Regions from separate parts of the Mus musculus genome. Here regions 1, 2, 3, 5 and 6 are each reported to be linked to region 4. Evidence: microRNA targets listed by miRTarBase, many of them from high-throughput screens and not tested one by one. Region 4 holds a microRNA gene; each other region holds the end of a gene's coding sequence. Distances are from middle to middle.

What was found. Region 4 holds the annotated microRNA mmu-miR-665-3p (ACCAGGAGGCUGAGGUCCCU, at 1,422-1,441, opposite strand). A microRNA usually pairs through its seed, bases 2 to 8, with sites in the 3' UTR of a target mRNA and lowers its output. Matches are read on the target gene's strand: a 7mer-m8 pairs with bases 2 to 8, a 7mer-A1 pairs with bases 2 to 7 and ends in A, and an 8mer does both.
Region 1: the mRNA of Slc39a1 is a reported target of mmu-miR-665-3p. Seed matches in the 3' UTR shown: 7mer-A1 at 3,647-3,653.
Region 2: the mRNA of Nrcam is a reported target of mmu-miR-665-3p. Seed matches in the 3' UTR shown: 7mer-A1 at 3,344-3,350.
Region 3: miRTarBase lists Tfcp2 as a target of mmu-miR-665-3p. Seed matches in the 3' UTR shown: 7mer-A1 at 1,897-1,903.
Region 5: miRTarBase lists Tceanc as a target of mmu-miR-665-3p. Seed matches in the 3' UTR shown: 7mer-A1 at 901-907.
Region 6: the mRNA of Isg20l2 is a reported target of mmu-miR-665-3p. Seed matches in the 3' UTR shown: 7mer-A1 at 1,813-1,819.

The regions. Positions count from the first base shown.
Region 1 is chr3:90,251,495-90,256,568 of GRCm38, reverse strand. Slc39a1 (solute carrier family 39 (zinc transporter), member 1) reads right to left here. Exons shown (of 4, transcript NM_013901.2): 4 at 2,957-4,883. The coding sequence ends at 4,227. Crtc2 (CREB regulated transcription coactivator 2) reads right to left here and starts at 2,711. Exons shown (of 14, transcript NM_028881.3): 1 at 2,011-2,711. The coding sequence starts at 2,163.
Region 2 is chr12:44,597,689-44,602,762 of GRCm38, forward strand. It overlaps Nrcam (neuronal cell adhesion molecule), which reads left to right. Exons shown (of 31, transcript NM_176930.4): 31 at 662-4,158. The coding sequence ends at 899. Among named protein-coding and RNA genes, the nearest start is that of Nrcam, 270 kb to the left of the region's middle.
Region 3 is chr15:100,499,850-100,504,923 of GRCm38, reverse strand. It overlaps Tfcp2 (transcription factor CP2), which reads left to right. Exons shown (of 16, transcript NM_033476.3): 16 at 481-2,176. The coding sequence ends at 518. Among named protein-coding and RNA genes, the nearest start is that of Csrnp2, 7.1 kb to the right of the region's middle.
Region 4 is chr12:109,582,735-109,587,808 of GRCm38, reverse strand. Mir665 (microRNA 665) reads right to left here and starts at 1,495; the gene lies at 1,402-1,495. It overlaps Mir337 (microRNA 337), which reads right to left and starts at 2,020; the gene lies at 1,924-2,020. It overlaps Mir3544 (microRNA 3544), which reads left to right and starts at 1,936; the gene lies at 1,936-1,996. It overlaps Mir540 (microRNA 540), which reads right to left and starts at 1,729; the gene lies at 1,663-1,729. It also overlaps a transcript of Rtl1 not described here.
Region 5 is chrX:166,497,986-166,503,059 of GRCm38, reverse strand. It overlaps Tceanc (transcription elongation factor A (SII) N-terminal and central domain containing), which reads left to right. Exons shown (of 5, transcript NM_001007577.2): 5 at 1-3,248. The coding sequence ends at 742. Among named protein-coding and RNA genes, the nearest start is that of Tceanc, 10 kb to the left of the region's middle.
Region 6 is chr3:87,938,317-87,943,390 of GRCm38, forward strand. It overlaps Isg20l2 (interferon stimulated exonuclease gene 20-like 2), which reads left to right. Exons shown (of 4, transcript NM_177663.4): 3 at 258-458; 4 at 922-2,370. The coding sequence ends at 1,035. Among named protein-coding and RNA genes, the nearest start is that of Crabp2, 7.8 kb to the right of the region's middle.

The DNA.
Region 1 (5,074 bases), not on the chromosome of region 4:
ACTGGTAGAGGAGGGAGAGGGCACAGTAGCCTATTCCAACTTCGGGCAGGGCCATCTCCTGCCAGTTTGTAGAGATGTCTGCTAAGGAAGTGAGACAAAAGAACCCTCCGTTGGCCATAGTGTTAGCCTCTCTCTATGTCACATGGACCTCTGTATGAGACATACGTAACTACTGCCAAGGCTCAGACACAGCTCGCAGCCAAACAGAGCTGGGATACGGGCACGGGAAGGAGGAAAGTACTCGAGGAAGGGTAAACTCTGATGCTCAGAACTGATCAGAACCAGTCTTCTACTCCAGATCAGCTCGGTGATGCCAGTGGGTAGTGATGCTCATCTCTGGGCTTAATGAATAGACTCCAAGTCCTCAGAGGTCTATGCCACCATGGCCGTCTCTGCCTCTAGCACACCCTCCCAGTCAGCCAGGTAGGTAGCAAGGCAAGCCTTTCACGCCAAACTCAAGATCCTTGTATATCTAGGCTCTGGCCATGTATGGTCACTCCATTTTGCCATGCCGCAGAGAAGTTAATCGGCAAGAGAAAACTAGGTAGGAAAGCGCTACGAAAGCACCACACAGACAGACGGCCCAGCCTCTCGTTCCTCACGTGCACACACTCGCTCTGGTCCACAGTACAGAGCCTCAAGCTCTCCACTGGAAATAAACCTCTCTCCCATCTTCTTAACTCTACCCCCACCATAATCAAAAGCTCTTAAAGGGAGCAGTCAATAGTTCATAATCCTCATGGTGGTTAAGAGGAGGTTATAAACACACACACACACACACACACACACACACACACACACACACCAGATTTGCATCTCTATTTATCTATCTTGAACTCTCATAAACTAGAACATGTGGTCTCTAGAAAAATCAAAGGGGAAACACACACAGGACTCAAAGAGTAGAGGGAGATACACACATAAATACAGTCAGTCAGTCATATATAGAACTAAAGAGCTTTGAAATATGGTATTTATGCTCCATCATCTCCCCTTAGTTTCCTTCAAGCTCTTTATTATGAAAGATACTGCAATATCCCTCACCTGCTGTTTTAAAAATAATTGTGTCCCTAAGTTGGGGCTGCTTACCTGCAAACTCTTGAGTGTTTACCCTAATTCCCTCACAACCTGCCCTGGGAAGCAAGAAACCAAGGCAGGGGTCAGGGGTGTGCTTCCAAAAACAACTTGTCTGAGGCCCGATGCTTCTTTGTGTAACTTCCTAGGAAGGAGTATTTCCCACACATACAGGACTCTAGAAAGCATTCCAGACACTGAGCCACAGGTAGCACCACCTGCCTAGAGAGTTCAGCACATCCCCAGTCAAAGGAAAGGGTGATTCTTTAGCCCAATTAGGCGATTCAAAGCTCTACCTTTCCTCACAGTCGCCCAGAGCCATACACCAAGACCCATACTGTGCGCAATGGTCTTCACCTTGACTCAAGTCAGGAAACCACACGAAATATTTGAAAAAGGAAGCAAAGGGAAGGGACACAGGAGGGGACTTCCTGTCCCAATATACCCAGCACAGCCCGATCAAACCACTCGAGGGGCCCTTTCCCCTTGGAACCTAGTTGTCCCATAAGAGCACAGGCACTGTGATCACAGATTCAGAAAGGGTCAGATTAGGGATAAAACAAACTATGCTCCCAACACATAATCCAAGATTGAGGATGCTTCGGTGGAGTACCTGAAAGGACTCGGCTGGGGATAGACAAGGGCCATTCCCCTGCCGATGGACTTTCGGCGGTCCATCTCCTCCTGCGACCCCTGTTTCATATGTAAATAACTCCAACCCAGTCTTTACTACTCCCACGACTTCTCCAGTGTGTTCACCTCTTCCCGGCAAAATTCATCTAACTGACCCTGGGCCCTCACCCCACGCCACCCAGACGGCGGCGCCCGCTGTCCCAGCAGTGTTCCGCCTCCTGCCCTGCGGCTCCCGCCCCCGCCCCGCCTCTCCGCTCCGGGACCCGCTCCTCAGTGATCGGGCTCCCAGGCATGACCCCTTACCCGTGTGGAGCCGATGTCCATCATCACCTCCTCGAAGGCCGCCGTCTCCTCGGCCTGACGCTGCTTCTGCAGCGCAATCTTCTCACTAAACTTGCGTGGATTGGACGCTGAGGCTGTGGCGGAACCCGGCCCGTTCGCCCCTGACGTCGCCATCTTACCCCCGCGTCCGTCCCCGCCACCTTCCCAGTTCCAGCCACGGCCTCTGCCGCGGGCCCGGCCCGGCTCCTTCAGCCTTAGCAGCAGCCGCCGCCGCCTCCGCGAGCCCGGCGGCTCGGCCCCAGCCTACTCCAGACTCCGGACGCACCGCCTTCTGGGACTTGTAGTTTGTTTACGGGCTTCCTCTACGCCCTCAGACACGCAGGGAGGGCAGGAAGCGGACATCACTTCCCAGCAGTCGTGTGACCCCGGGAGGCAGGCACGCACGCCACCCCTCACCTACTCCCGGCGCACAGCAAGCCGGGAAAGGTAGTTCTACAACAGTCCCGAGCCTACGAACGGGAAAGGGAGAGGGATTCCCCAAGGAAGCTGAAGAAAAAACGAGGAAGGGAAGGGGTGGAGACAGAAAGGAAGAGAAAAAAGAGAAATTTGGTCATCCTCAGGAAAGGTGAGAAGTGGGGTGAGTGAAAACAAGGATCTTAAATCAACTGTATGCAACTGAGATTCATATCCTCTACGACTGGCCATCACACACACACACACACACACACACACACACACACACGACTGGCCATCACACATACACACACACGACTGGCCATCTCTCTCTCTCTCTCTCACACACACACACACACACACACACACACACACACACACACAGACCATCTCTCTCTCTCTCTCTCTCTCACACACACACACACACACAGACCATCTCTTCTCTCTCTCTCTCTCTCACACACACACACACACACACACACACACACACACACAGAATCAGATACCATAGAAGTGTATAGAAACATCTTTTATTTGGGTAACATATCCCAAAACAGGTCAGTTAGTAAAATAGATTCTACAGAGTACAGACCTATGCACAGCCCTCCCTCCCCAAAAATAATCCTGGGGGAGGGAGTCTGTCTCCCTCCACCCCGGACTCCTCAGATATAAAGTTTTGGCAGGTTATTGGTTTTTTTCTAGGTATGGACCACCATGTCCACTTTCTGTAGTGTCTGGTGTCAGTACCTACTTTTCTCTCACTCCAGACCAGTTCAGCAAATATTTCTTCCCCACCCCAAACTATGGGGCCTAAATAAAAGAGCAAATAGGTCTCCACTGAGGTGCTAGGCAGGCCCCAGCACCTCAGCACTGTGCTTTCAAAAAGGGGGCAGGTGAGCAATACATGTGCTACACACCTTTAATCCCAGTGCTCAGGAGGCAGAGGCAGACTGAGCTCTGAGTTTGAGGCCAGGACAACCAGGGTTATACAGAGAAACCCTGTCAAAAAAAAAAAAAAAAAAAAAAAAAAAAAAAAGCAAACAAACCTAAAGGGTGGGTGGGTGGGTATTTGGCACTTTAACAACAGACTAGTGAGCTAGGCAGTGGTGGCATGGCACCCCTTTAGTCCCAGCATTAAGGAGGCAGAGGCAGAGACAGGTGGAGCTCTGTAAACTCAAGCCCAGCCTGGTTTACAAGAGTGAGTTCCAGGACAGCCAAGGCTACACAGAGCAACCCAAAAAGGTGAGGACAGGAGAGGCCAGATAAATTACGAAAACTGGCAGAGAGACCATTTGGCACTAGTCCCTTAGTGGAAGACAAGAGAGAAATATAAGAGTAGGAGGGAAGAAAGGAGGAGGAACCATTTCAGCCATCAGAGTGGTGAGATGGGCTAGAACCAACAGGATACTGGCTTTGACTTACAGCCTCTGTATCTTTATCGCAAAGAGGCTGGATGCCTAACTCTCAGTTCTTCTGTCAGCTTGTCTCTGAGATGTACTGCCTGGCCTCTGACTGTAGCAGTCTGCCTCCTTCTAATGTCCCTGACCACGTCTGTAGTAACTTCGCTATCTCTTATTCTTTGGGTCTGGGGCTAGCCTCTTCTCTGCCCACTTCCATCTCATTATTCATAGTCCAAATGTCCCATCCCTATATCTAAGAGAACTCTTTGGTCCTCACTACTTCCCTTCTCCACTTCTTTCTATTTCCCACCAATTGAGAAGGGTAGGGAGGGAGGACAGGGGCACCTGATAGCCAACCTCCCCTGCCCTTTCTCTTGAAGCACCTTAGATTTGGACAAAGAGAAGGCCAGTGAGCAGGGCAAAGCCTGCTAGGAGCAGAATGACCTTGAGGATCCTCTGCTCAGAAGTGGCCAGTTCCTGGGGTAGAATTTCCAGGAAGGTGATATAGAGGAAGGTGCCAGCTGCCATGCCCTCTAGAACAGATTGGGCCAGCTGGTGCAGAGGCCCAGCTGACTCTGCCAGAGCTGCACCCAACCCGATGCCCAGAGGTGTCATACATGAGAAGAGGATCCCGCAGCCAGCCACCACCTGCACACGTAGGTGGCTCTGTAGCAGCCGCAGGGACAGGCTGACTGCCAGAATGCCTTTGTGAAGCAGCAGAGCTAGGCACAGCTCCATTGCCCGAGCCCTGTCTCGCTGCAACCCTACAGCCAGGCCCTCAAATACTGAGTGCAAGGCTAAGGAGAAGACCAGGACACAAGCACGCAGGGCTGAGGGAGCTGCTGGAGTTCCGCCGGCCTGGGGGATCCCTGGTCCATCGTGCCAGTGCTGAGGCCCACCATTCACTGTGCCCAGTAGAGCCCTTGTCTCTTCCGGGTGGGGTGGACTGGTCTGTTCCTTGTAAGCCAGCGTGATCTGCTCCATCACCAGGACCAGGAAGAAACCCATGGCCAAGATGAACTCTTGCAAGGGGAACTGAAGCTGTGAACAGAGGTGGCAACAAGAGTTCAGGAAATCAGAAGAAATCAGATGCAAAGCCTGGTAGAGGCTCTGTTATACACATCTGACGTCCCACACAGACAAGCCCCCTGTGGTCACACCATGATGAAGTCCGTTGGCGGCACAACCACAGAACAACACTTAATGGAACAGCTAATGGTATCCAAAGTATT
Region 2 (5,074 bases), 65 Mb from region 4:
TAATAATAGTGTGACCTCCCAGTGTAAGGACTGTGCTTTTCTTCTTAGGCTGTTCTCATTTGTTTCCTCTGCCTCCTTTTAATGGATTTCTAGGTCTTTTGAAAGGTAAGGCAGAAGTTCACAAATCTGGCCTGCATTCAGTAACAAAATTATTCAAACTGCAAGATTTTGCTTCTCCTACTGCGTGAGGAAAAACAATCCATGTATCACATGTAACCACAATCATGCTCCATTCACATCCAAGGAATCAGAGAAATCACACAGTTTAACACACTAACTCTGACTGTCCTGAGCTCTGCACTGCTCCTTTGAATCGAGATAGTGTTGATTTGAGCTATCCTTAACCCCCTGCCATGCCCCGGTAATGCTTTTCATCTTTCCAAATTGCCTTCCAATCAGGCATCAGACTCTTTCATTTAAATTAGCATGTACAATCAGAAAGTCACCTGCTCTGCTGCAGACATGATCCAACCACTTCTGCGCCTGACTTCCATTCCAGTACCACCCTAGTCCCTGGAGTCCAACTGGCAGTTAGTTATCTTTGGCTGCAGGAGCTCAGGCCTCCATATGCTTTTTCATAATTTGCATGCATGATCTGCAAAAAACAAGGCGCTTTACTTAAATGCTTGTCTTACCAAAATTTTTATTTCCTGTCCCCCAGTGATGCAGAAGATCACAAGCCTTTGAAAAAAGGAAGTCGAACACCTTCAGACAGGACTGTGAAAAAAGAAGATAGCGATGATAGTCTGGTTGACTATGGAGAGGGGGTGAACGGCCAATTCAACGAGGATGGCTCCTTTATTGGCCAATACAGTGGTAAGAAAGAGAAAGAGCCAGCAGAGGGAAATGAAAGCTCAGAGGCCCCTTCTCCTGTCAACGCAATGAACTCCTTTGTTTAAGTCTTTAAGCTCTGTGCCAATGTCTAATCTCTCTGGAATGGTTTTCCTGAACACCTGTCATCCCTCTCATACTACGGACATATGGGTAGAAAGAATGTTTTCTGCGGTATATGAGTATTATGAGACCAGAGCAAGAACATGACTCAGTCAAATGATACATTAATATGAACTGGGGTGCAAAGTGCATACGTTTTTGTTCAGAGTGGGGTTTTTCTCAATTTCCTTGGAACTGATTAAAAAGAAATACAACATCATCAATAGATTACATTATTCCCTGTGCGGGATCCAGTTCAATACGATGCATGAGACATGCTGCACAGAGGACACACCTGTGTATGTGACTGCGATGTGGTTGGGTACTTTGTTGGCACTATCCTCAGCTGATCCCTAAATATGAATTCCGTTGTCATTGTGAAGAGTGTTGCTGTAGTGTTCTCTAGAGCTTCAATGTCTCTGTGGACATTGTTGTTAAACTCGTGACTATGTCTAGCTGGTGTTAGTCTTTTTGAGAGACTATTAGGAACAGTGTGTACAGTATATACTTGCTACATGAGTTACTTATGACAGTTGCATCCACTAATGCTCGCTGAGACTCTGAAACCTGTTCTTTGCTCCCGGACCTTCCTAGGCTTTTTATCCTTCCGGGTGTCACAGCAGCAGAGTCCCACTTACTATACTATCTGCGTTCAGTCCTTTGGGGGGCATAAACATTGCGTATTGTGACACCTGCTGGCATTTGTGCCCTACTCAAAGAATTGAAGTCAAAGCTCTCAAGTGAAATTTTAAATTTTAGTTCAGAAAATGCAGGGCAAGACACACGCAGTGCCTTCAGACAATTAGCATTCCCTGACTCCTGTACTCTGTATCAGCCAGTGTGGGCAACTTCATCCTACGCTACTGTTGTTGGAAAGGAACTTTTCCAAGGCAGAGATAATTCGAACTGAAACTGGGAGCATAGGAACAACTTTATTTGAAGTGGTGTTCCCCACACAAATATCAGGCCTCCAAAGCTCTGTCATTGTCGGGTGTACAGGATGGTTTTGTTGTCTTTTGTGGTTTCTAGCCAAACAAGTCAAGTTGAAAAAAGGAAAAAATGGTATGGTTGGAAATGGATAGAAAACCCAATGATTGCAGAAGTAAAAGCGTACAACAGCATGCCTAAAGTACTAAATGATTCACTCTGCCTAGACAAGCTTTCAAATTCCGCAGCATTCAGCAACGTGTATGCAAATTGCAACAGGCACACTCCAGAACCTGAGAAACCTGACCAGTGCTTAATTAGGCCAGCAGTCAAAGAGATTACACCTCGAGTCTAAAGAACAATACTATATCCTATCATAGCCATAAACAATGTGTGTGAAATGGCTTACCTCCAATATAGAAACCTATGACCACCTATGGTTGAAGGGATGCTCAGTTTCATTTGCCAATAAATTGGTTTCTCATAACTTGCATCAAGTTTAATTTTAAGTAAAGCCTTTTATATGTAGGTATTCTGTTGAATTTGTAAATATACTTAGAGTGTAGAAGCTATATGCTCATAGGTATTACGTGCAAATAAACATGCAATCAATGTTTATGTTCTCCTGTGTGAGAAGCAGGCTAGTTGATGAATGTAGTAAGTATGTGGGACGAGGAAACATCCAAATGTCTTTCGTGGTGTTTCGGATTTAATTTTTTTCCCCACTCTATTTTTGTTTGTGAAACTGAAATAGTGAACTCCGTGCCCCCCACCCCTTTCTTCAGCCTGTTGCTGGCTGAAAGCCTCAGTGTTTTGCCAATGGAGTACATTAGGGTTTGCCACCTGACACCTTTGATGTGTACAGGTAAAGCTTGTTTTAAAGTGATTCCCCAAATGAAGTGGCCCTAAATACTCTCATCTTTTCATATTCACTCTCCACAAACTAGCCTATCGATTGAAAATACAAAATAACACACAGGCTTGCCTCAACATAACAAAGCACAAAGACAAAAGTTCCTTTCAAGTCATCAATGCCTTCAGTGAAAGACAAATGTGAAGTCTCTGCTCATCTATAACTATGGATGCTAAATTTCTCTGTGCATGAAGAAGTCACGCCTGTAGATAACTACAGATTTTCTATTAAAAATGAAAAATTGAGTGTGGTTTTAAAGCCCCCCCCCCCACTCCTTGTACTTAGTCATGTTCCTGGGGGGGGGGGTGGGGGGAGGGTGGGTGTGTAGCAGGTGTACCCGGCAGCACAATGCTTCTGGACTTCCATCTGAAAAGGGACTGGTAAACAGCCCAGCTCTCCTCAGTTTCAGCTTCTTCAAACCTGTACTTCCAAAGATTTTTGAACAAATTCTGACAATTTTGTTTCGTTTTTAAAAGACTTTGGATTTTATCGCCAACGTAAAAATAAGAATTAGAATCAGGAATTATTTTTTTTTTTCCGAGACAGGGTTTCTCTGTGTAGTCTTGGCTGTCCTGGAACTCATTCTGCAGACCAGGCTGGCCTGGAACTCAGAAATCTGCCTGCCTCTGCCTCCCAAGTGCTGGGAAAGGCGTGAGCCACCACCGCCCGGTGAAATCAGGAACTTTTAAATCAAAGGTTAGGGCTAGTTACGCAGGAATAGATAGCAAGAGTCCTTTGAAAACAGGTGAACAAATCTGGTTCCTTTGTCGAGTCTCACAATAGACCAACTGCTGGTGCCCTGTCCATACAACCAGTGGGACCTCCTCGCTACTCAGCCATGGTCAATTTATATTTCTTAACATGGCTACATGATGAGAGTTTGAACACTCATACATATTACAAATATGTCATCTGCTTCCTTTTCTCCACCTTCATTCTTCTGTCTCCATCCAAGCCTAGCAATTATCCACATTCCACCACTTGCCCCTTGGTCACTGACCCCTGGTCCCAGCAGTGCATCCAGGAGAACTACCTGCCTTGTGCTCTCAGAGTTATTTAGACAGCATGCTATGAAAGTGAATCGGAGATGCCATAGAGAGAGAGCTCAGAATTCCTCTCACAGAGGACATGTTGGCTGCTTTCTCGGACCCTCCCTTCTGTCCTCACTGTGGGCCAAATTAACAAACCTTAGCCTCACTCTACATCATGACACGGCTCCGTGGCAACAGGAACTTTGAAACTTTAAGCATGACCTCAGAAAAAATCTTGTAGTTATAAACCTTTATAAACCATCTTCTTCATTGGGTTTTAAGGACTTTCGAGGTAAGGGGAGTCTAAGAACTCAGGGATTTTCAGTCACAAAATGAGTCACTTCCGCTTGAGATGTTTCCGCAGCTGACCACCAGAGGGCGCCTGTGCTTTATCCTGCGTCGAAGAAACTTGCTAGAGAAAGCAGGCTAATGACCCTGGCTGGATCGGTTTTGGATAATTAAATGATGACCCGATGGTGCAGAAAATGATCGCCTGTTCGTACTAGGGAAATGAGATTGCAGCTCTCCCCAGCGACTGCATGACTGTGTGAACCTTTTGCATAGTTTTTTCTCTTGATTGAGCCTAGGTGTGTCAGGGAAGAGTTGCCTCCAGTCCAGTGGCCATGTTTGTCAGGTATAGGTGCGTGTGTGTGTGTGTGTGTGTGTGTGTGTGTGTGTGTGTGAGAGAGAGAGAGAGAGAGAGAGAGAGAGGATAAAGGAAGGGAGTCCTTAAAATGGCCTCACTTCCTTTCTTTAATGATGCTATTTTTGTCTGCCACCAGTGGTTTGACATTTTATTATTGACTAGAACACACACAAAAGTAGTTTAAATACTACCCTCAGCTCATATGATTCCACTTAGGAGACGGGGAGAGAAAAGCAGAGAATATCACTGCAGTATTTGTACTGAATAGTGGCTCAGTGGGGTGGAAAGATCAGTGTAAGAGAGAAGAAGGATTCATATTCCAACCCCACCATCAGTCAGCAGTGTGTGTGCAGGAACGCCTCCTCTCGTCATTCACTCCACATCTGTCTCCTCAGTCAGACAATGATGGGGCAGATCGTGTCTAATATGCCTTTCTAGTTTAATCCTGTGTGTCCTAGTAACAAAACAAAAACAAAACAAAACAATCCGAGCGCTTGCTAGGGACAAACACAAGCCAGGTTTGAGTCCCGCTGTGTGGGGCCTGGAGCCTCGTGTTTCAAGACAGCTATAATCAGTCAGCTTCCTGCATGGGTGCAAGTCCTCACTTAGAGCTCGAAGGGAAAG
Region 3 (5,074 bases), not on the chromosome of region 4:
AAGTGCTTGGATTAAAGGCAGGCGCATTATTCCCAGGAATACGTCTTCCCTCCTTGTGTTGAGATAGGGACGTGTCCTCAGTGGACACTGTTCTTTGTAAAGTGTCTTCTTGCTGTTATCAGGGGAAAATACTTCTGACAGCTCTGCCATTTTCTTACGCCTCCCCTTAGCAAGTGAGGAAATCAGAGTTGTTTCTGTAGCTGTTCAATTTACGGTGAGGTCCCCTAGTAAGACCCAGTATAAGGTGACAATATTGAAAGCCAATTTGCTTAATTCCAGCACACAGGAAGAGGAGGCAGGGAAGTAGCATCATCTCCATAGCCAGTCCTAGGACAGCCAAGGCTATAGACCCTGTTGGGAAAAAAGATGTCTGCCATTTGCCTGGCTCAGTTTGACTTTTTATTCCCTCTCACAAGATAGTTTTGCCCTTTGCTGCTCTACAGGAGGCTAAAGATCACGTCTCTCTCTCCATCTCTCCAGCAGAAACCAGTGACAGCTATCATGTCATTCTCAAGTAGGGTGAGGCCCCGACCTTCGACGGCTGCTGCTGCCTTCCCCTCTTCACCTTCTGAAGGGGACATGACTGGAGATTAAAGGGCTTCAGGAACCTGGCACATCTGAATGTTGGGGGGAGGGGGGAGGCGTGTCCAGTGCAGGGCGAGCAGGTCCCAAGGAGGAATCCCAGAGTCCTGTATTGGCTCCTCTGATCACTGGCTATACATGGAGCCAGCAGTTTCCTTACTTTCTGGCCCCTGTTGATACCAGTAAGAAGCCCCGTCATTAGGGTTTGTAGAGGGCAGAGTGGTAATGGGAGTCATGTGATGTTTTCTAGGAAGATGTTTAGTTTTGTGATATAGAGCTCTGACATTTTACTGATATAAAAGTGAACATCTGTCTTCATAAAACCAAGCTCTCTCTCTTGCCTCAAGCCTGTTGGCAGCTCTGCTCTGCTCTGTTCACAACTGTGAGGAGGAGAAACAGAATCTCTCCTTCCCTTTTTTGAGACAGGGTTTCATGTTCTTGCCTCTACCTCCCAAGAGCTGGGATCACAAGCTTTTGCCACCTGGTCTGTTTCTGTCTGCAGTGCTGGGCTTGAACTCGGAGCCTCACGTGCTAGGCAGGCACTTTCTCCAGCTGAGCTCCAGCAGGCCTTCCCTTTAGTGCTAAGACAGGCTCCAGATTTCTAATTTGGTTCACCTGCAATACCACAGCTGAGTGTGATTTTGGCTAATGTGTATTGGGGTAGACCGAATGATAAATCCCACGGACGGATAATCTTCTTTTATCCCCTTAATAAACCCAAAACATCTGGGGACACAGTGACTTGAGGGTGAGGAGACGCAGATGAAGTGGAGGGGCTTCTGACAACACCAGATGCCACCCTTTGCTGCCAGTGCTCACCACTGGGTCTTTCTGGGGCTCTGCTGGAAACTGACGGACTTCCCACTGAAGGAGGCAACCATACCTTACCACTGTAGCGATAATGAAGCCCCAGACAGACAGACACCCAATGTCACACTAACCTCAGCCCAGAGCTAGAGGTGAGAGAGACAAGCGTGTCTGACCCCAGGCTTCGTTGTTCGTGAATGATATTCTCAAAACTGTTTAAGTAAATGAGCTATTCCGCCCTGCTCTCCCCTCCCCTGTCTTGTTTTGGCATAGTGTGGTGTTTTTTTTTTTTTTTTTGTTCTTTTTTTAAAATGTAAGCTTTATTAAAAAAAGAAAAATACATTCTTTTCCTATTCAAACTCACACTGTGTTTATGTTCTGCCTTTCAAATGGCTGTGTGTCTGTGTGCATGTACAGAATTGTAAAGCACTTAGGCCCTCCTTTTTCACATGAAGTTTGTTTTAGCTTGGTTTTCCAAGAAAACGTTTCTCTGTGGAGCCCCGGCTGTCCTGGAACTCACTCTGTAGACCAGGCTGGCCTCAAACTCAGAAATCCACCTTCCAAGTGCTGGGAATATAGGTGTGTGCCACTAGCTTAGTCAGGCCACATGTAAAGTTTTACCAGAAATTCCCTTAAATTTTGTTGAGATGAACAAAGATAATGTTAAAGATTCTGTATTAAATTTGAATTTATGTGTGTTTTTGAAGTATTTAATAAAGCTTAGATTTTTTTATAGAGAGTTTTTGGTTCTTGTTGCTGTTGTCCATTAAAACCAACCTGTAATGTGGTTTCTAATTTCTTTTGGTCTGAAACAAGTTTAAAACCTTGAAACCTGAAAATTCCTCACAGTGGTGCAAAATCAGCTTGACATATTAGGCCGAGCACTCCCTCACCCAACATCCCATTTTGAGGTGACATTTCTAGTTTCGTCACGTTCCAAGGACTGGTTCCCAGTCATTGCAGTTGCTGCCTCTATCCTTGGCAAGTCACTGTTGGCTGCCGTCCCCTTCCCCTGTCCCAGTGGCAAATGGGAGAGGTAAACTAGGAAGGCAGCCTGTGTTGTGAGACCTCCTACTCTGGCTGGCTTAGCACTTGTTACACAGCTCAGGCTGGTTCTGAACTCACGCCTCAGCCTCACACGTGCAGAGAGGAAAGATATCGACACCATGCCTAGACTTGGACTTGCTTCCAAATACATGAATCTCTGAGGCACAAATGATGCATATAATTCTATTAGTATATTGGCTATAAATTACATGACTTAGGGGGCCAGAGAGATGGCTCAGTGGTTAAGAGGACCTGGGTTCAACTCCCAGCACCCACATGGTGGCTCACAGTCATCTATAACTCCAGTTCTAGGGGACCTGATCCTGTCTCCTATCCCCAAGGGGACCAGGCACATGTGGTATATAGATATACACCCATACACATAAAAGAGTAAAAAGTTAAAAAACCTAGATGTCCTAATTTTTACCTGAAATTACTTTTTATTAGAGTAGCCTTCAAAATCACAGAAGTGAATTTATATACCATTATAGTTTTAGATTTTGTTTGGTTTTGTTGTTGTTGTTTGAAATAGGGTTTCCTGGCTACCCTGGAACGTGATTTGTAGGCCAGACTCACCTTGAACTCATAGATCCACCTGCCTCTGCCTCTTGAGTGCTGGGATTAAAAGCATGTGCCACCACTGCCTGGCTTTTTTTTTTTTTTTTGTTTTAAAGGCTAGGCTAGCCTGAGCTTCCAATAGTAGACTGGGATGGCCTGGAACTTGCATTGACCTTTCTGTCTCTTCTGCCCAAATCCTAGGGTTAATTACACCTGACTCAGATCTTTAGAGTCACCAGAAACTTCCCCTAGGCTTTATTTGAGTCCCCCTTTCTAGGTGTTTACTATGACTGTTATCTTAGTGACAGGACATTGTGATTATTTACAAAATGTTTCATTATTGACCTTTTCAGTTAAATGAAAAAGTTAAATTGACATTGTGAAGATAACATTTAAAATTATCACATATAAATAATAAAGGATATAACTTTTTTTTCTCTTTAGTCTTAAAGAGGTGGTCATTGATTGGGGGACTTAATCCCACATTCTCAACATTCAGGAAATCGAGGCAGGAGCCTGCGTGATAGAGACTCTTAATTTTGCTTTTTGTTTTTTTTCATTGCCATGAGAAAACACCATGAGCAAGACAACTTATAAAAGAAAGTCTTTAATTTAGAGGCTCACGATTCCAGAGGATTAGCGTCCATGATTGTCATGTCAGAGAGCATGTAGCAGGAGGCAGGCAGACATGGGGTTGGAGCCATAGTTGAGAGTGGGAAGCAGAGAAAGAGGGGCAAGCTAGAGCACACTAACTGGAAATACTATGGGTTTTTGAAACCTCAGCCCACCCCTAGTGACACAGGTCCTGTAACAAGGTCCTAATCTTTCCCAAAGTGTTCACCAACTGGGGACCAAACATCAAACATACAAACCCATGAAGACCATTCTCATTCAAACTGCCACAGAGACCCTCTTTCAAAATTAAAAAAATAATAAGAAGAAAAATTTCTTCAACATATTTATGCACATACGTAAGTCTCAGTAATTATAATAGTACATGATTTTGTCGTAGTATTTAACATATTTTGAGCATCTTTCTATACTCATTCTACATTATTGTTTTGTAAAGTAGGTTCTGTGCTCCCAAGCATCTGTCATCTCAGCCCTTTTTCCTTCTAAATAAACTGTGTCTGTTTCTGCGTGTGGTATGTATGTGGTATGTGCGTGTGGTATGTGCACGCATATCCCTTTCCCCCTCAGAATGTTAAGTTAAACTCATTTGGAAAGATTTCCTTTCTATGCTTTTGCACAGAATACTCAAATATTCTAGAAGCAAGATGTGACGATGGCTGGACATGAAATGGGAAATCCTGTCACCTCTGGGCTCAATCCTGAGCACCACATGAATTCAGGCAGGCATGCCTGTAATCCTAGCACTTGGAGGTAGGAGGGTGAGAGAAGTTCAGTAGAAGGTAGAAATAGAAGGTAGAAGAATACAGCCACTTTTGGAGGCCATCCTTTGCCCCAGGGAGACCCTGCTTCAAAAAACAAAACAAAACAACAAAAGCCGATGGGATTTTATGCTTTTGTGACCAATGATTTATATTTATATTAAATAGTTTAACATTCCCATTCATAAGAGGCTATATGACAAGCAGAATAGGGAGAATTTAGAGCTTTCAGAAAAATGATAATTCTATCCTATTTGATTTAGTGTTCTCTCTCTCTCTCTCTCTCTTTTTCTTGAAATGAGATTCCTAGTACCAACTTCTATCTTAGTTTGGGTTTTACTGCCAAGAACAGACACCATGACCAAGGCAACTCTTATAAGGACAACATTTAGTTGGGGCTGGCTTACAGGTTCAGAGGTTCAGTCCATTATCATTGGGGGCGGGGCGGTGGGGGGGGAGACCATGGCAGTGTTCAGGCAGGCATGGTGCAGGAGGAGCTGAGAGTTCTACATCTTCATCTGAAGGCTGCTAAAGAACATTGGCTTGCAGGCAGCTAGGACAAGGGTCTTAAAGCCCACACCTACAGTGACACACTTACTCCAACAAGGCCACACCCCCTAATAGGGTCACTCCCTGGACCAAGAATATTCCAACCACTGAAAGAAAATAAAACTTGAGACCTGTGATTC
Region 4 (5,074 bases):
AACAAAACAATCCTGTCCCTGCTTGGTGAGGACTTCTCTGGCCCAGTGAATGCAGAGATGACTTAGGTCAGGACTACTGCCAGGGGCCCCAAGGCCCTGAGGGCCCCAAGCAAGTGAGAGTGAAGGAGAACTCAGTGAGCCAGCAGCCCGCCAAGAGGCTGCCAGTGATGTTGACTGCAGAGGTGCGTTTACCCACAGCCCGCACGAACACAGACCATAAAGGACAATAAAGGCCCGCAGGCCTACCAATCTACCCAGCAGGGATTTGTCCCCATTAACAGCAAAAGGAGGTGGTCCGGACTGTGAAGAGAGCTGGTGACGTGCTAAAACGTGCTAAAACGGTAGGTTATCAGGTTATCGGCGGAGCCACTTATAGAGATTGAAAAACACAACACAAACCTTTTTTTTTCTCCTGGGGAAGAGAAAAGAAAAGAAAGAAATTGGTGTGAAAGTTCCTGCTAGGGGATGATAACATCACTTCCAACCCTGTCAAGGTGAAAACCAGAGGCCAGGCCCTGGCTGCAGACTCCACCCACCAAGGAGCTGCCCCCACTTCCCAGCTTCAGTCCCCAACCAGAGAGCTCTGACAGCATCCAGGAACAAAGAGGAGCAGGGGCCCTCCCTTGCCCACCTTCCCTGTCCTCTCCATTGCTTCCCCTTATAAGATGTCCCTGCAGGTACCAGAGCCAGTGACAGCACACACACAGGACCCTGAGTCCAGAGTTTTACCAGCTCCTCACCAGGCTGGAGCAGAGATCTCCACATGCCTGGGTAACCTGGGCTAACTTGGGCTACCCCCATAGTAAGAAAAGGAAAAGAAAATATTACCCACCCCTCAACTGTCCCATACACCTTAAGCCCTGGTGCTGGGCCCAGGGGACCACATCGTTAGACACGATCTGAGACCTGAGCAGCAAACCTCATCTGGACTTTGATCCACCTGTGTGAGCTGAGAGACACGCATGACCATCTTGCCACCAAGACCGTGCAGGAGCACAAGTAGGAAGAAGGAGATTGGGGGCAGAGGGGGGGACAGGGAAGGGAGAGACAGTGGTGAAGGGGAGGGGGACTGGGTGTGGCCTGGGTCCTCCCTGTCCTGCCCTCAAATCCTTTCACAGCTTCCAGGCTATTCACTCAGGGTGCTCCTGTGTGCCGGGGCTGGCTGCCATAGCTGGTAAATGCAGTTAATAATGGTGGTGTTGTGGGGATGGAGATGGGCCCTGTATGCATGCAATGACCTAGGTATTGGGGTTCAGACTCTACGCCAGCTGCTCATTGTGCTACTGAAGTGTCTGTGGGCACCCGGCCTGGGAGGAGGATGAACAGGGATCTTCTGCACTCCTTAGGGGATCCAGAGTTTGAACTGAATGAGGTGAGACGTCTCCAGAAGGGCTCAAGGAGAGAGTAAGAGGCCGCCTGTAAGGGACCTCAGCCTCCTGGTCATAAAAACATAATCCTGGATAGAGGCAGAGGCCCCTCAAGGAGACCCTGTTCTGGGAGCACTGGTAATGCTCAGCCCTGCCCTGTCTCAGCCCTGTGCCCTGCTCTAGTAACAAAGACCCCATCTCTCAAGGATCCACCCTTTCTGCTAGGAGCTGGGTCCCCTCAGAGGACCTCCAGGAGAGAACGGCTCCTGGAATCCCAGTGGGAGGAGCCCCAGAGTAGGCCCAGGATCGACCTCTGACCTGTCTACCCTTGGCCACAGAGTCAGAGGGTGACCCTTGGCCCAGCCCCAGGGAATGTCCCACCAGGGGTATAGCTCCCCCGCCAAGGAATGATCTCAGGTATGGCCCAGCCCCGGGTATTCCCCTCCAGGAACTGTGGAGAATGGCGAGAAAGCATGCCAGGGGAAAAGAGCGAGCTGAAGACGCGTCCCTAAGCGGCCCAAGGTGCGCGGAGGAGGGTCCGGAGGCCTCACGCGGTTGAAGGGGGTGAAGAAAGGCATCATATAGGAGCTGAATGGCTGTGCAATCAACTCCTGCATGACGCCGTTCCCACCCCCCAACTTCTCACTACACTGGGACCCTCCTCTCCTGAAAAAGCAAGGCAAGAAGCACAGACAACAGGTAGGACAGACTCCCAGGGCTTAGTGTTAGAGGAAGGAAACCAAAGGCCAGCCAGCCCTAGGGCACCTGCAGCACAGTGGAAGCATCTACCCTCCTTGCCCAACCTCACTTCTTATAAACTCTCATGGAGTGACTGGAGCCAATCCAGGGGATGAGGAGGGGGGAGAGGGAGCAGAGGGATGGGAGGGAGAGAGGAGGGGCAAGGGAGCACTGAAGGAGGGGTGGGGAAGCGGAGAGGGAAGGAAGGGTGACTGTGGTCACAGGAGTGTCCTGCTAAGGTCCATCCCGAGTATCCAGTGGGTTCCTCTGCAGACCTAGAAGGGACTCATGGGAACCAGCAGGAGCTTAGACGCCCCAGATGGATCCCCCAAAAAGATGCATGGGTTAAAAGCTACTCAGTGTGGTGAGGGGACAAACTGCAGGTACAGCTAACAACCGCTCCCCAGGTTCTTTGAGTGTCAACTTGAGTTACACTCCTCCATGAATAACTAAAAACCACAAACTGCTTTTGCTTGCCTGTTAGTTTTTTTGTTTGTTTGTTTGTTTTTGAAACAGGATCTGTGTAATCCAGAGTGGATCCCGACTTCTCCATCTTCCTGCCTCAGGCTTCCAAGTGTGGCTATGATTGACAGGCCTCTGTCACCATGGCCAGCTTGAATGGCACATGTGTATCACCTTACATATGAATAAAGTAAAAAAAAAAAATCTTTCCTGACTTGTGCTCTTCTCTTCCTTGTCTGGCACACCCACCAACTGCCAACAAACACTTGTCCCAGCATAGTCTCAGAGAGCAGGGTATAAAGAGGTAGTATGGGGGTGGGAGGGAGTAGTAAGGATGGGAGGCCAGAAGACAGGTGAACACAGGTGGGGAAGGGAGGACTCGGTGTTAAGCCAGGGAGGAAGGGAGCTGCACACGACATGTGAATGACAAAGGGTTAAGGCAGCTCAATGCTGTGGTAAGATGCTGCAGATGTCAGTGGGGCAGGGGAGAGAGAGAAGGGGGGCTCAGGGCAGCATGTGGAACACAGCTGCACATCATCCAGGGCAGAAGAGGGTTGCAAAGGGACATGTATGTGTATGGGAGCATAGGGACATGGCTCACGGGAAGCAGGAGGGTCTCAGGGTGACGTATGTCACAAGGGAGAGATGAAGGATATGATATCCCACGCAAAGAGGGGGTCTTCATGTCATAAAGAAAAGAACAGGGACATCCCATGATGCCTACCTACACAGGGGGGTGTCAGTAACATATGGAGAGATTAAGGGATTAAATCTAGCGGATGGGGAGTGGTCCAAGGCTATACATGGGGGAGAGAATCCATGGTACAGGGGAGAAAAAATGTAAATGTGATGTGCAGAGGAGGGGTAACATGACACATAAAAAGAGGAGGGGCTCAGTATGACTCTTGTACAGGAGAGCCTATGACTCCTGAGAAAGAGACTGGGCTGCATGTGGGACATAAGGAGGAGGGGCTCTGATAGAGGAAATAGGGGCTCGGTGTGACATCTGTCAAGGAAAGTGTTCATCACAAGTGGGGAGAAGGACTAGATGTGACACCTATGAGTTGCTTTGTGACCTGGAGGACATGCACGTCACAGTGTGGTATGTGTAGAGGCAGAGCGCTCCATGTCACAAGGCAAGGGGTGGATGTCTCAACGTGCTGCGTGCAGAGGTGGGGCTTCCCAACATGAAGAGAGAGCGAGAGGAGAAGAGTTCCGTGTACCGCATCTGGAGCACCAGCAGGGTTTGTGGTGACTAAAAGGAACGAGGGCTATGGGACACATGATTTAGGGGCCCTCTCACGATGGAGGAGCTCAGAGTCAGGGAGGGGCCTAAGGTGAATGGGGAGTAAGTGGGATGAAGCTCGGGTGCACAGGGCACACGGGTGGGGCTAGGCTAAGCATGACACACGTGGGGAGAGGTGTTCTCTCTCTAGGACACATGGGTAGAACTCAGGTGACCACGACAGGTGTGAGAGGGGGCATACAGAACGTAGGAAGGGTTAGGCTAAGCATGACACATGTAGAGGAATGGTGCTCTTCAGGACATATGGGTGGAGCTAGGCAAAGCGTGCCCCATTATGGAATTTTCTCTTTAAGACACATGGCTGACAATAGCCTAACCCTAACACAGGATGACAAGAGGAGAGGACTCAGTGTGAGGCCAGCAATAAGACATAAGAAATGTTAACACATGAACACAGAGGGTCTTGGAAGTGCAGCCTGATGGGAGGGGTCTGTCCAAGACAAAGCAGGTGTAGTGGGAAACCATGTAAAGATAGGGAAGAGAAACTTACTCTGACCCAGGTAGGGGAGTGGAGCTGAATGTGATACCCGTGGAGAGATGAGACGCAGTGTGACTCAGGACCCTTGTTGTGATTCATGGGTGGTGGGAGGGGCTCTGTGTGTGACATAGGTGTAGAAAGTTTTGACATGTAATGGGGTCTAGATGAGAAACACTTGGAAAAGAGACACAAATGTCTTGTGCGAGGGTAGAGAGCTCATAACTCTGAGTGCCACTGTTGAAAAGGGACTTAGCCTAACACAAAGGAGAATTGAGGAACTGTGGGACACACGGCCAAGGAAAGACTTAGGATAGCACAGTGAGGACCAGTTTGATACCTAGGTGGCATGACCCCATGTGATGAACAGAAGGAGAACGGTTCTGTGAGAAAGGTGTGACAGGTGACCGAGGGGAGTCTGTGTGAGAGGAAAGGGGTTCAGTGTGTCACAGGAAAAGAGCATGTGAGGCAGGAGTAGAGAGACACAAGGAGGCAAGACTCCAGGTGTCAGGAGAGGTGGATTGTGCTCATGGTAAGAAGCATGGAGAATCTTTTCTGTTTGAGGCACATAGGCTGGAGCATGGTATGACAAATGGGGATGAGAGGTTCAAAGTGACACAGGGGAGGACACACAGGAAGGTAGTGCTTCATGTGGCACATGGGTACAAAAGGGGCTCGGCATGACACACGCATGGGTGTGACACCTGGTGGCAGAGGGGGAATTGG
Region 5 (5,074 bases), not on the chromosome of region 4:
AACCTCAGGCTCTAGCCATAGTGAGATCATGGGTCTCTGCAGTTCTCTCTCTAGGCTGTTACCCCAAGATGCTGCAAAGCCTGCTGCAGCAATTGGATCTGAAAGTAGCACTGCTCAAATGGAAATTAATGAAGGATATTTGAAGGGTGATGACTCTGAATGCACTCGCAAGAGCTCAGGTGTGTTTCAAGGTACTTTAGTGTCTGTGAGATCTAAGTGCGTAGAACTTCTTTACACAGCATTAGCTAGTTCTTGCACAGATCACACAGAAGTGCACATATGGCAGAACTTAGCAAGAGAAATTGAAGAGCACATTTTTACCCTTCATTCAAACAATATCAAAAAATATAAAACTAGTATTCGAAGCAAAGTTGCCAATTTGAAAAACCCCAGAAATTTTCATTTACAACAAAACTTCCTCTCTGGAACCATGTCTGCAAGGGAGTTTGCTGAAATGAGTGTCTTGGACATGGCAAGCCAGGAACTCAAGCAACTGAGAGCTTCCTACACAGAATCCAGCATTCAAGAACATTGCCTTCCCCAATCAGTTGATGGCACATGGACAAATAAAATTAAGTGTAGGCGCTGTGATAAATACAACTGCAAGGTCACTGTGATTGCCAGAGGAACACTTTTCCTTCCAAGTTGGGTGCAGAATTCAAACCCAGATGAACAAATGACCTATGTCATTTGTAATGAATGTGGGGAGCAGTGGTACCATAACAACTGGGTATGCTTGTGATTTGTAAATAATCCTTTTAAGGGCATATGTTTTATATGTATAACCTAACCTTTTGTGCTTGGTTTTTGGTTGTTGTTGTTTTGTTTTTAGTTTGTTTTTTTTTTCTTTTCTTTTTTTGTTTTCCTTCGAGACAGGGTTTCTCTGTTTAGCCCTGGCTGTCCTGGAGACCAGGCTGGCCTCGAACTGAGAAATCCACCTGCTTCTGCCTCCCAAGTGCTGGGACTAAAGGTGTCCGCCACCACTGCCCGGCTTGTGCTCTTTTTTTTTTTTTTTAACAAAATCTTAATCTTATTTTTGCCTTTGGGTTTTAGTTCATGAAAGATGTCATTATATAGCCAAAGGTGGCCCAGTCTCATGAGTGCTTGCATTATAGGCGCACCTGGCTTTATATACTGCTCTTACTACAACCCTAAGACTAAGGAAAGAGAGTTATTTGCCAGAGTGTAGGCCATAGAAAGCTATCACACTACTTTGTGGCCACTTAGTGCTTTACTCAGAGTGGCACTGTAGCTCCACACTACCTGAGAGCATGTTAGAGATGAAACTCTTGCTCCTTAAGTCCTGATCTGCATTTTAACAGAGTCCCCAGGTTATCCTCTGGGGTATTTTGAGAATCACTGACATACATAGCATTAGGCCTGAAGTTCTCAGGAATGACTATATATTAGAATTTTCTGGAGAACATTGAAATGTACTGGTGCCAAGGGCCAAGCCTATACAGTTCAATATGAACCTATGGCCTGGACCCAGTAATCAACACTGCTCTGGTCATTTCTTGGTTCCTGTTAAGTTGCAGTTAGAGTTAGGAACTACCTGTAGATAGTCTCTCATTTGAGCCTTTCTATAGTTCTGAAGAAATTAATGTTATTCTGGAGTTTACAGATGAGGAAAGCAGCCCACTTGCCCAGGTTACACAACTGTATGTAGTCGGCTTCACACTGATCCCAGGTTTTCCAGCTTACTTCTCAAGCAGGTGTGATGGCACATGCCTGTGGTCCAAATACTAGGGAGAATGAGGCAGGGGATTTATGTGAGTTCCGGCCAGTTTGACTTGCAAAGTTCCTGTCTCAAAACTGTTAAAAGGGAATCCTGTTTCAAGCCTGTAATCATAGCGTTGGGAATGCTAAGGCAGAATCCCATAGTTGAGGGCAGCCTGAGTTAGATAGAGAAACACTGCCAAACTCAAAAATATTCAGTCTGAGGATGACTTAATATTGACTTTGTAAGAAGTATACTCTTGGAAATAGGTGCTAAGCAAATAGTGTTTGGGACCTCTAAGCTTATGTGACCGGAGTTTTACTCTTTTGTCCTTAATTTTCTCATTTTCTTTTGACTGGTGAAAAGTTGCAGTGTAAGTTAGAATTTGGCTCGAAGCCTGCTTCCTTAGTTGAATGCCCTGTGTTTTGTTTTTTTTTTTTTTTTTGAGCACTTCAAAAAGTATGATATATAGTTCCTTAATGTTAGGACTCTATATACCTTCAGAGGCATGTGTGTTGGGATTGAAATTCAAATTCTGATCATGTGAAAATGGCACTAGTTGTTAGAGGAAGTCTCTCCTTCAATCTCAGCATTTACTTACATACTAACTGAAGAGAAAATCACGTCTCCTAGTTCTTTGTAAACAGTGTTTACTGATTTGTATGCTTATTCACAAGCCTTTTTATGTGACCATGACTAATTTTTTTCCTTAAAAATAATAAAATGATTGTCTTTCTGGGTTTTGATTTTTTTTTACCATGTAAAACAATTTTATACATAATCAACACAAAACCTTGCATATATGTGCTCCTTTTACAGTTAATCAGGTGATTAGATATACATTTTCTCTTTTGTTGTTTGACAACAATATGTGAAGAGTTTCTATTTTTATAAGACTAGCTTCACTCTGTTGCCTAAGCTGGGTTCAAACTCACACTGGCTGGCCTTAACCTCCAGAGTGCTATGATTGGCAGTGTAAGCCACCATTCATTGATTTTATCATATTAAAGAGTTTTTATCTTAGTTCCATATGAACTCATATTTTAACTAGTTATTATCCCCTAACTCCCCAGTATTCCTTCATTGGGATCTGTAGGCTTTTCTTTATATTTTTACCTCCGTATGACAGTTCCCCAATAGTTGCATAAAACTAGCAAACATTTCTGTTTTAGGTTTTTTGAAGAAATCAACTTGAAGCTGTCAAGTCTGAGTTATATTTTGTTATATTTTCTCCATATGGCATTCCAGGGTGGTTCACCATGGTGCAATGTGTTAGTCCTTTACAGAGTGACTTACAGAGTCATCAACAACTCAAAGCTTTCCCAAAATGTGGTTTCATGTGACTTGGAATGATCTTAAAACCTAGACAGTGGTTGTGCAAGAGCAGCACACACAGCCTATAAAAACCTTGTTTCATTTGTCTAAATCAGTTTGATGTTTGGATTTTCTATGTAACTATGTATTGTTTTTTATATTGCGATTTTGTAAGCTACATTTACCAAAAATAAAAGTATTTGAAATGTAAAAATCTCTTATTCTCCAATATTTTTTTAATTGTATGAGATCTTCCTTATTTCCCATAAGCTCTGTCAGTTAGTTTTGCAACAAGAGATAGGGAAATGGTGATGTAGGTTTCATTCTTTTGGTCAGTGAGACAGTTACATTTTCTAAATATAGACAATGATTTTACACTGTGTCTTATCCCCTAAAAAGAGAAAGAAGTTTCCCCCTCACTCTTTTATTCCCTAAAAGAGAGAAAATAGTTTCTCTTTTCTTCTCCTCTACTCTCCCTCTCCTCTCCCTCTCCTCTCCCTCTTTCTCTCCCTCTCCTCTCCCCCTCTCTCCCCCTCCCTCTCCTCTCCCTCTCTCCCTCTCTCTCCCCCTCTCTCTCCCTCTCTCTCTCCCTCTCCTCTCCCTCTCCTTCTCTCTCTCCCTCTCCTCTCCCTCTCTCTCTCCCCCCTCTCTCCCTCTTTCTCTCCCTCTCCTCTCCCTCCCTCTCTCCCTCTTTCTCTCCCTCTCTCTCTCCCTCTCCTCTCCCTCTCCTCTCCTTCTCTCTCTCCCTTTCCTCTCCCTCTCTCTCTCTCTCCCTCTTCCTCTCCCTCTCTCTCTCCCTCTCCTCTCCTCCTCCCTCTCTCCCCCTCCCTCTCCCTCCCTCTCTCCCTCTCTCCCCCTCTCTCCCTCTCCCTCTCTCTCTCCCCCTTTCTCTCCCACTCCCCCTCTCTCCCCCCTCCCTCTCCCCCCTCCCCCTTCCCCTCCCCCTCTCCTCTTCTTCTTTTTGTTGTTGTTGCAGGGTTTCTCTATATAGTCCTGGTTTCCTGGAACTCACTCTGTAAATGAAGCAGGCTAGCCTCAATCTCAGAGATCTCTCTGGCTCTGCCTCCCAAGTGCTAGGATTAAAGCTGTATGCCATCATTGCCCAGCCAAAGGAGTTTTGTTTTGTTTTGTTTTTTGTTTTTTTTTGTTTTTGTTTTTGTTTTTTACAATTGCTGATGGGGCAGATTCTAATTTAAAATGGCCCTTATAGGAGCAAAGAGCAATTCTGAGGACTCCAAGATTCCGGGAAGGTGCCTGCTAATAAGGAACAGCTGATGTGAATGAGACATGATGTAAAGGACTCCACAGAGTTCCTGAGGTCCATTGTAAGTCATGATAACAATAAGGACTTGGAGGCTTTGGGGGTCTAGGGTGGTTTGTGTTTAAAAAAAATTATTGAACTTAGGTGATTTGTAGTCATGGGATTTGAGTGCCTTTTAGGAAGACCATTGTAGCTGCTTTGTTGAGTGATGAGAGAAACAAGGATGGATGCAGGAACACCAAATAAGTGACCATTAACAATGGTCAAATTAAAGTATAGAAAAAAATAAGCCAGGCGGTGGTGGTGCATGCCTTTAATCCCAGCACTCAGGAGGCAGAGGCAGGCGGATTTCTGAGTTCGAGGCCAGCCTGGTCTACAGAATGAGTTCCAGGACAGCCAGGGCTACACAGAGAAATCCTGTCTCGAGAGAGAGAGAGAGAGAGAGAGAGAGAGAGAGAAATAAAAAAAGGAAAAATATACTTTGGCTGCATCCTGATGGTTAATGGACCCCTTTGCAGTTTTGCAAATGTCTGTTTCATAGAATATGCCCAATCCAAAATTTCCTCCCTGTGGCCAATCATCAGATAAATAACAGTGCAGAATGTGAGCACTAAATACATATAGCCTGTACCCCAGTCTCCATGGTAACGGCATAGGGTGGGAAATCCATTTTAATAGCTGAATGTGGGAAGGTTTCCTCCTTTGTTCGTACAACTTTTTAAAGTGAAGGCTTGAGTACAATCGTGGCTCTGTCTCTTCCCCGGTTAGGTTAGTTCCTG
Region 6 (5,074 bases), not on the chromosome of region 4:
TGTTGGGATGGAAGTTACTAAACATGTAAGGGACCTCTGGTGATGTAGATCCAAACAGGATTGCATAGCAGTTCTCTAGGGAAGGGAGAGCTGGAGTTCTGAAGGAGGAACAGTTGTGGAAGGGGGCATTTCAAGAATGGGGTGAGGGTGGAGGTGATGGGGTGGTATGTTGGTGATGGCCATATTGGGCCTTCACAATCTAAGGAGCTCCACCTTTGAGTATGGCTTCTCATTACCTCCTTATGTGCCCATTCTAGATCTTGAAGATACTCTCAGGGAAGGTAGTGATAGGGCATGCCATTCACAATGACTACAAAGCCCTACAGTACTTTCATCCCAAGTCCCTCACCAGAGACACTTCCCGGATACCACTCCTCAACCGGAAGGCTGACTGCCCAGAAAATGTCACTTTGTCACTGAAGCATCTCACCAAGAAGCTCCTGAGTCGGGACATCCAGGTAACTTCTCTCTAAGTGCCCCCACCAAAGGTGACCCGGTAGCCCTGTCTGCAAGGAGAAATAATAAATCCTGGGTGCTTTATAGACCGTGCCAGATGGTACAGTGGGAAAGAAGAGCACTCAGCATTTCACATGCTCAGCAGTCAAGGACATGGCCACAGAATATGGAGCTCTGGGTACATGTCACACAGAGAACATTTAAGAAAGAAGACCCAGACAGTCTGTTTGACCTGAAATGTCCTGCCTCTGCAGAGCTTAATAGTAAGATACATATGCATCGTCACTCAAATGAGCAGGCCTTCTGGGAGTTGAAACTGAAATGTGCTAGGGAGGAGGGCCCTAGTAGACTTGTGACTACAACTCATAAACTATAGAAGAGAAAGTATAGACAACTAGCGGGATGCAGGGAGTCCAGTTGTCTGGGAAAAGCAACAGTTCTCGTCTTCATGTTCTTTTCCTTTAGGTTGGAAATACTGGACATTCCTCGGTGGAAGATGCCCAGGCCACAATGGAGCTGTACAAGTTGGTTGAAGTTGAATGGGAACAGCACCTGGCCCAGAATCCTCCAGAAAATTAGCAATCCCAGGGAGACACATGCAGTAGACCAACCCACAGTTCTTCCAGCTTCTCACCTGCAGAAGCTAGAATCACTGGGGAGAGGGGCTTGGCCAGAGGCTTAATACCCATTGAAATTTCATCTCAGCTATTTTGGTCACTGTGTGGTTAAGTGTCTCATGGAAGAGGAGAGCTTTCATGTTAAACCCACCTCTAGGTCAGGCAGGTGGCTCAGACCTGTAATCCCAGATACTTGGGAGGCTGAAACAGGTTATAGATGTAAAGTCTGCCTGGACTACAGAATTAATTCTAGGTCAGTGAGACCCTGTCCTAACATAAAAAGAGGGCCAGGGGTAAAGCCCAGCGCTAGAACACTTACCTAGCATGCATAAACCACTAGGTACAGTCTCCAGCAGTGGGGTGGGGGAGGGTAGAAGGAATGGAATACAAAGTCATGAACCATAACTGTTTACTTCTTTAGAGTGCTAACCACATGTCACAGGGTGCTTGTGCCAGTCAGCCTTGACTTTGAGGAAGCAAGGCACACCAGGGAAAACAGTGTCCCACACTACCTTCTCTATGGGACACATGTCATAGATATGTCTCCTTTTGGTGGGGAGTAGGGTAAAGGAATTGAGTTGCCAGGGCTGGCCTCAAACACTTGGGCTCAGATGACTTCTTCCTCAGGCCCGAGAGTAGCTGGGACTACAGGTGTGTGTTCACCACTGTGCCTAGTTCTTTTATTTTTTTTATTTTTTTTGGTTTTTCGAGACAGGGTTTCTCTGTATGGCCCTGGCTGTCCTGGAACTCACTCTGTAGACCACGCTGGCCTCAAACTCAGAAATCCCCCTGCCTCTGCCTCCCGAGTGCTGGGATCAAAGGTGTTGCGCCACCACGCCCAGCATGGTTCTTTTAATTTTATGGGATTTTTTGTTCTAAAGTAAATAGCAGTATCTTTTCACTTTCAGACAAGTCCTGATTGGAGCTCAGCATAATGGTCTGTAATCTCAGGACTCTGGAGGCCAAGGCAGGGAGATCAAAAGTTTAAGACCAATCTGAGTGCATAGAAAAAGCTCTGGGTCAGAGAAGTAGAAACAGAGAAGGAAAGAATTTTGTGGTTGCTTGCTGAATTTTATAGCCACGTTACATAGCACTGACTAACAGTGTTTACTTAATTTAGGTTCCACTTAGTTTAAAAAGAATTTGTATAGTTTTAATCGTCTTTCAGCCTTTTCAGCCTTTCACCTTGCAAATGCAGCCTCTTAGTTCATACGATTCTTTTTATGGATTTTTATAATAGAAAACTGGTGGGTTTGTTTTTTGTTTTTTTTTACATATAAAGATCTATTTTTATTTTACTTATGTGTATGTGTGTGCTTTCAGGGTCCAGGAGAGGGGTCAGATCCTGCAGAACTAAAGCTTCAGGCCGTTGTGAGTCTGGGAAGTGGGTGCTGGCGGGGAGGCGGAGATCCTCTAGGAGGAGCCACCTCTCCAGCTCACGTAGTGGATTCTTTATGGCTTTGTATTAAATAAGATCTCTTCGTGTGGAAGGCTGTGTAGTCCTGTGGGGATTTCTAGGCTCTCTGGATGGGTCACTGGAGCCCTTGTTTGCTGGATGATTTGAAGCTCTGGTAAGCCTTTGTCACACATAGGGCCTTAGCTTTCCTGTCACACTTGAAGTGACACCCTAAGCCGCGCAGGGTAATGTGGTGGAGTGAGTCCATGTACATAAGGGAGGAAGGGAGCTTGGTGACGCAGCCTGCCAGCTCTTCCTTAGTGGTACACACCGTTGTTTCCTGAAGGTGAGTCACGGGTCTGCAGCATGGTTGTCCCTACTCTGTGGAGCCGTGTCCCTGTCCCTTCACGATTTCATTTTATCATTTACTTCTTGGAGTTTTAATACCAGATCCTGAGTTCTACCCTTGGTTTATATGGGTGGTAATTGATTATGGGGGTGAGGGTGGCTGTGGTAAGACTGCCATCTCCGTGAGAGCTTCACTGTGCCCTGCCCTATACTGAGCCCTTGAGCTGCACTGTGTCACTCAAAGCTGGTTGGGATTTTTTTTGCCTCTATGTATAACTGCACTACTTGTGTGCCTGGTGCCCATGGAGGCCATTGGGGTGTATCAGATCCCCTGGAACTGGGTTTACAGACAGTTGTAAGATCTCACATGGGTACAGGGAATCAAACCCAGGTCTCTTGCAAAAGCAGCCAGTGCTCTTAACCACCGGGCCATTTCTCCATCCCCTCAAGGCAGTATTCTAACTTAACAGTTGAGGAGATTGAGGTTAACCGAAAGGCAAGGTGTCTCTCCCAGGCCAAGGATGTAGAGGTTGCATTGGCACTCAGGTTTGGTGAGTAGGCCTGAAGTCCCTGCCTTGCTGTTAGCATCTGAGTAGTATCTGGCAGAATATGGGCACTACACCCAGCGTCTGTTCTGTACTGGGTGGTGTGTTAGATACTGGAAATGGAAATCTTTGGCCCTGAAGAAGAAAAGCTAAGAAACCTCACTGAGCCACACATTTGCTGTCTAGAGCCAAGATTTAATGCTGGTTAATAAGATGAGCAGGTGTGTATTTTTGAAAGACAATGCTGTCTGCTGTAGGGAATCTGCATTGGGGAATGGCCAAGAGGTGAGCCATCTGTGGAGTGGGAGGAGAATGTGAGTATCAGAGTAGGTGACATTAGCAGGATCAGGAGGTTGGGACAAGAGAGGGATAGATGTGTTGAATACTTCAACAAAGCCCAGGGGAGGATTCACCAACAAAGGGTTTGAGAAAGGTAAGGTGGGTAGTTTCTGGCTTCCTGAGCAACTGGATAGCCAGCTGGGTAGTTGAGACAAGTTTAGCAGATGGAAAGAGACCTGAGCCTAGAACTAAGGTTTTTAGTCAACATTGCAAGGCTGGGTTTTGGAGGCTCATATCTGTAATCTTGGCTCTCGTGAGGTAGAGATAGGAAGATCATAAGGTTTGGGGTTTTGAAGTGGTCTCACTATGGAGTCTCGGTGAGTTGAAGGCCAGCTTGGTCTACAGAGTGAGTTCCAGGGCAGCCAAAGCAATGAAGAGAGACCTTGTCTCTAACAAAACACCCACCATCAACCTCTGGCCTCCACATGTGTGCACAGGCACATATGTGTGCACTATGAACACGTAGGCACACATACACAAATTGAATGGGCCCCACATACCTTCAGTGCTCCAGAGTGAGACTCTAGGGTAGACATAGATCAGAAGACTTGTGCATGCATAATGTTAGCCTGAGTAAGAGGTTTCTCAGTCCAGGGCCTGGGATCCTAGCCCAACATTTCTGAGTAGCAAGCTGCACAATAATCTCTGCCAGAGCAGCTAGTTCCCCAAAGGCCGTGCCCTATGATTACACCCTATGGAATCCTGCTCAGTTAAGTGTCTTAGTTTGGGTTACTACTGCTATGATGAAACCACAGCCAAGAGCAAATTGGGGGAAGAAAAGGGTTCATTTGGTTTATGCTTCACACTTACTGTCCATCCCTGAAGGGAATTAGGCTGGGAACTCAAACAGCAGGAACCTGGAGGCAGAAGCTAATATAGAGACTGGAGAGATGCTGTTTACTGGCTTGCTCTGCCTTCTTTCTTTTTTTTTTTTTTTTTTTTTTTTTGGTTTTTCTGTATAGCCCTGGCTGTCCTGGAACTCACTTTGTAGACCAGGCTGGCCTTGAACTCAGAAATCCACCTGCTTCTGCCTCCTGAGTGCTGGGATTAAAGGTATGTGCCACCATGCCCGGCTTTCTGCCTTCTTTCTTATGGAACCCAGGACCACCAGCCTAGGGATGGCATAATCACAATGGGCTGGGCCTGCCTACAGCCCAATCATACAGAGCCGTTTTCTCACTTGAGATTCTTCTCAGATAATACTAGTCTGTGTCAAGTTGACATAGAATTAGCCTGCACAGTTGGTTACTTATTTGTAAAGAGTCTATTGGTGGCGCACACCTTTAATCCCAGCACCTAGGAAGCAGAGGCAGGTGGATTTCTGAGTTCGAGGCCAGCCTGGTCTACAAAGTGAGTTCCAGGACAGCCAGGGC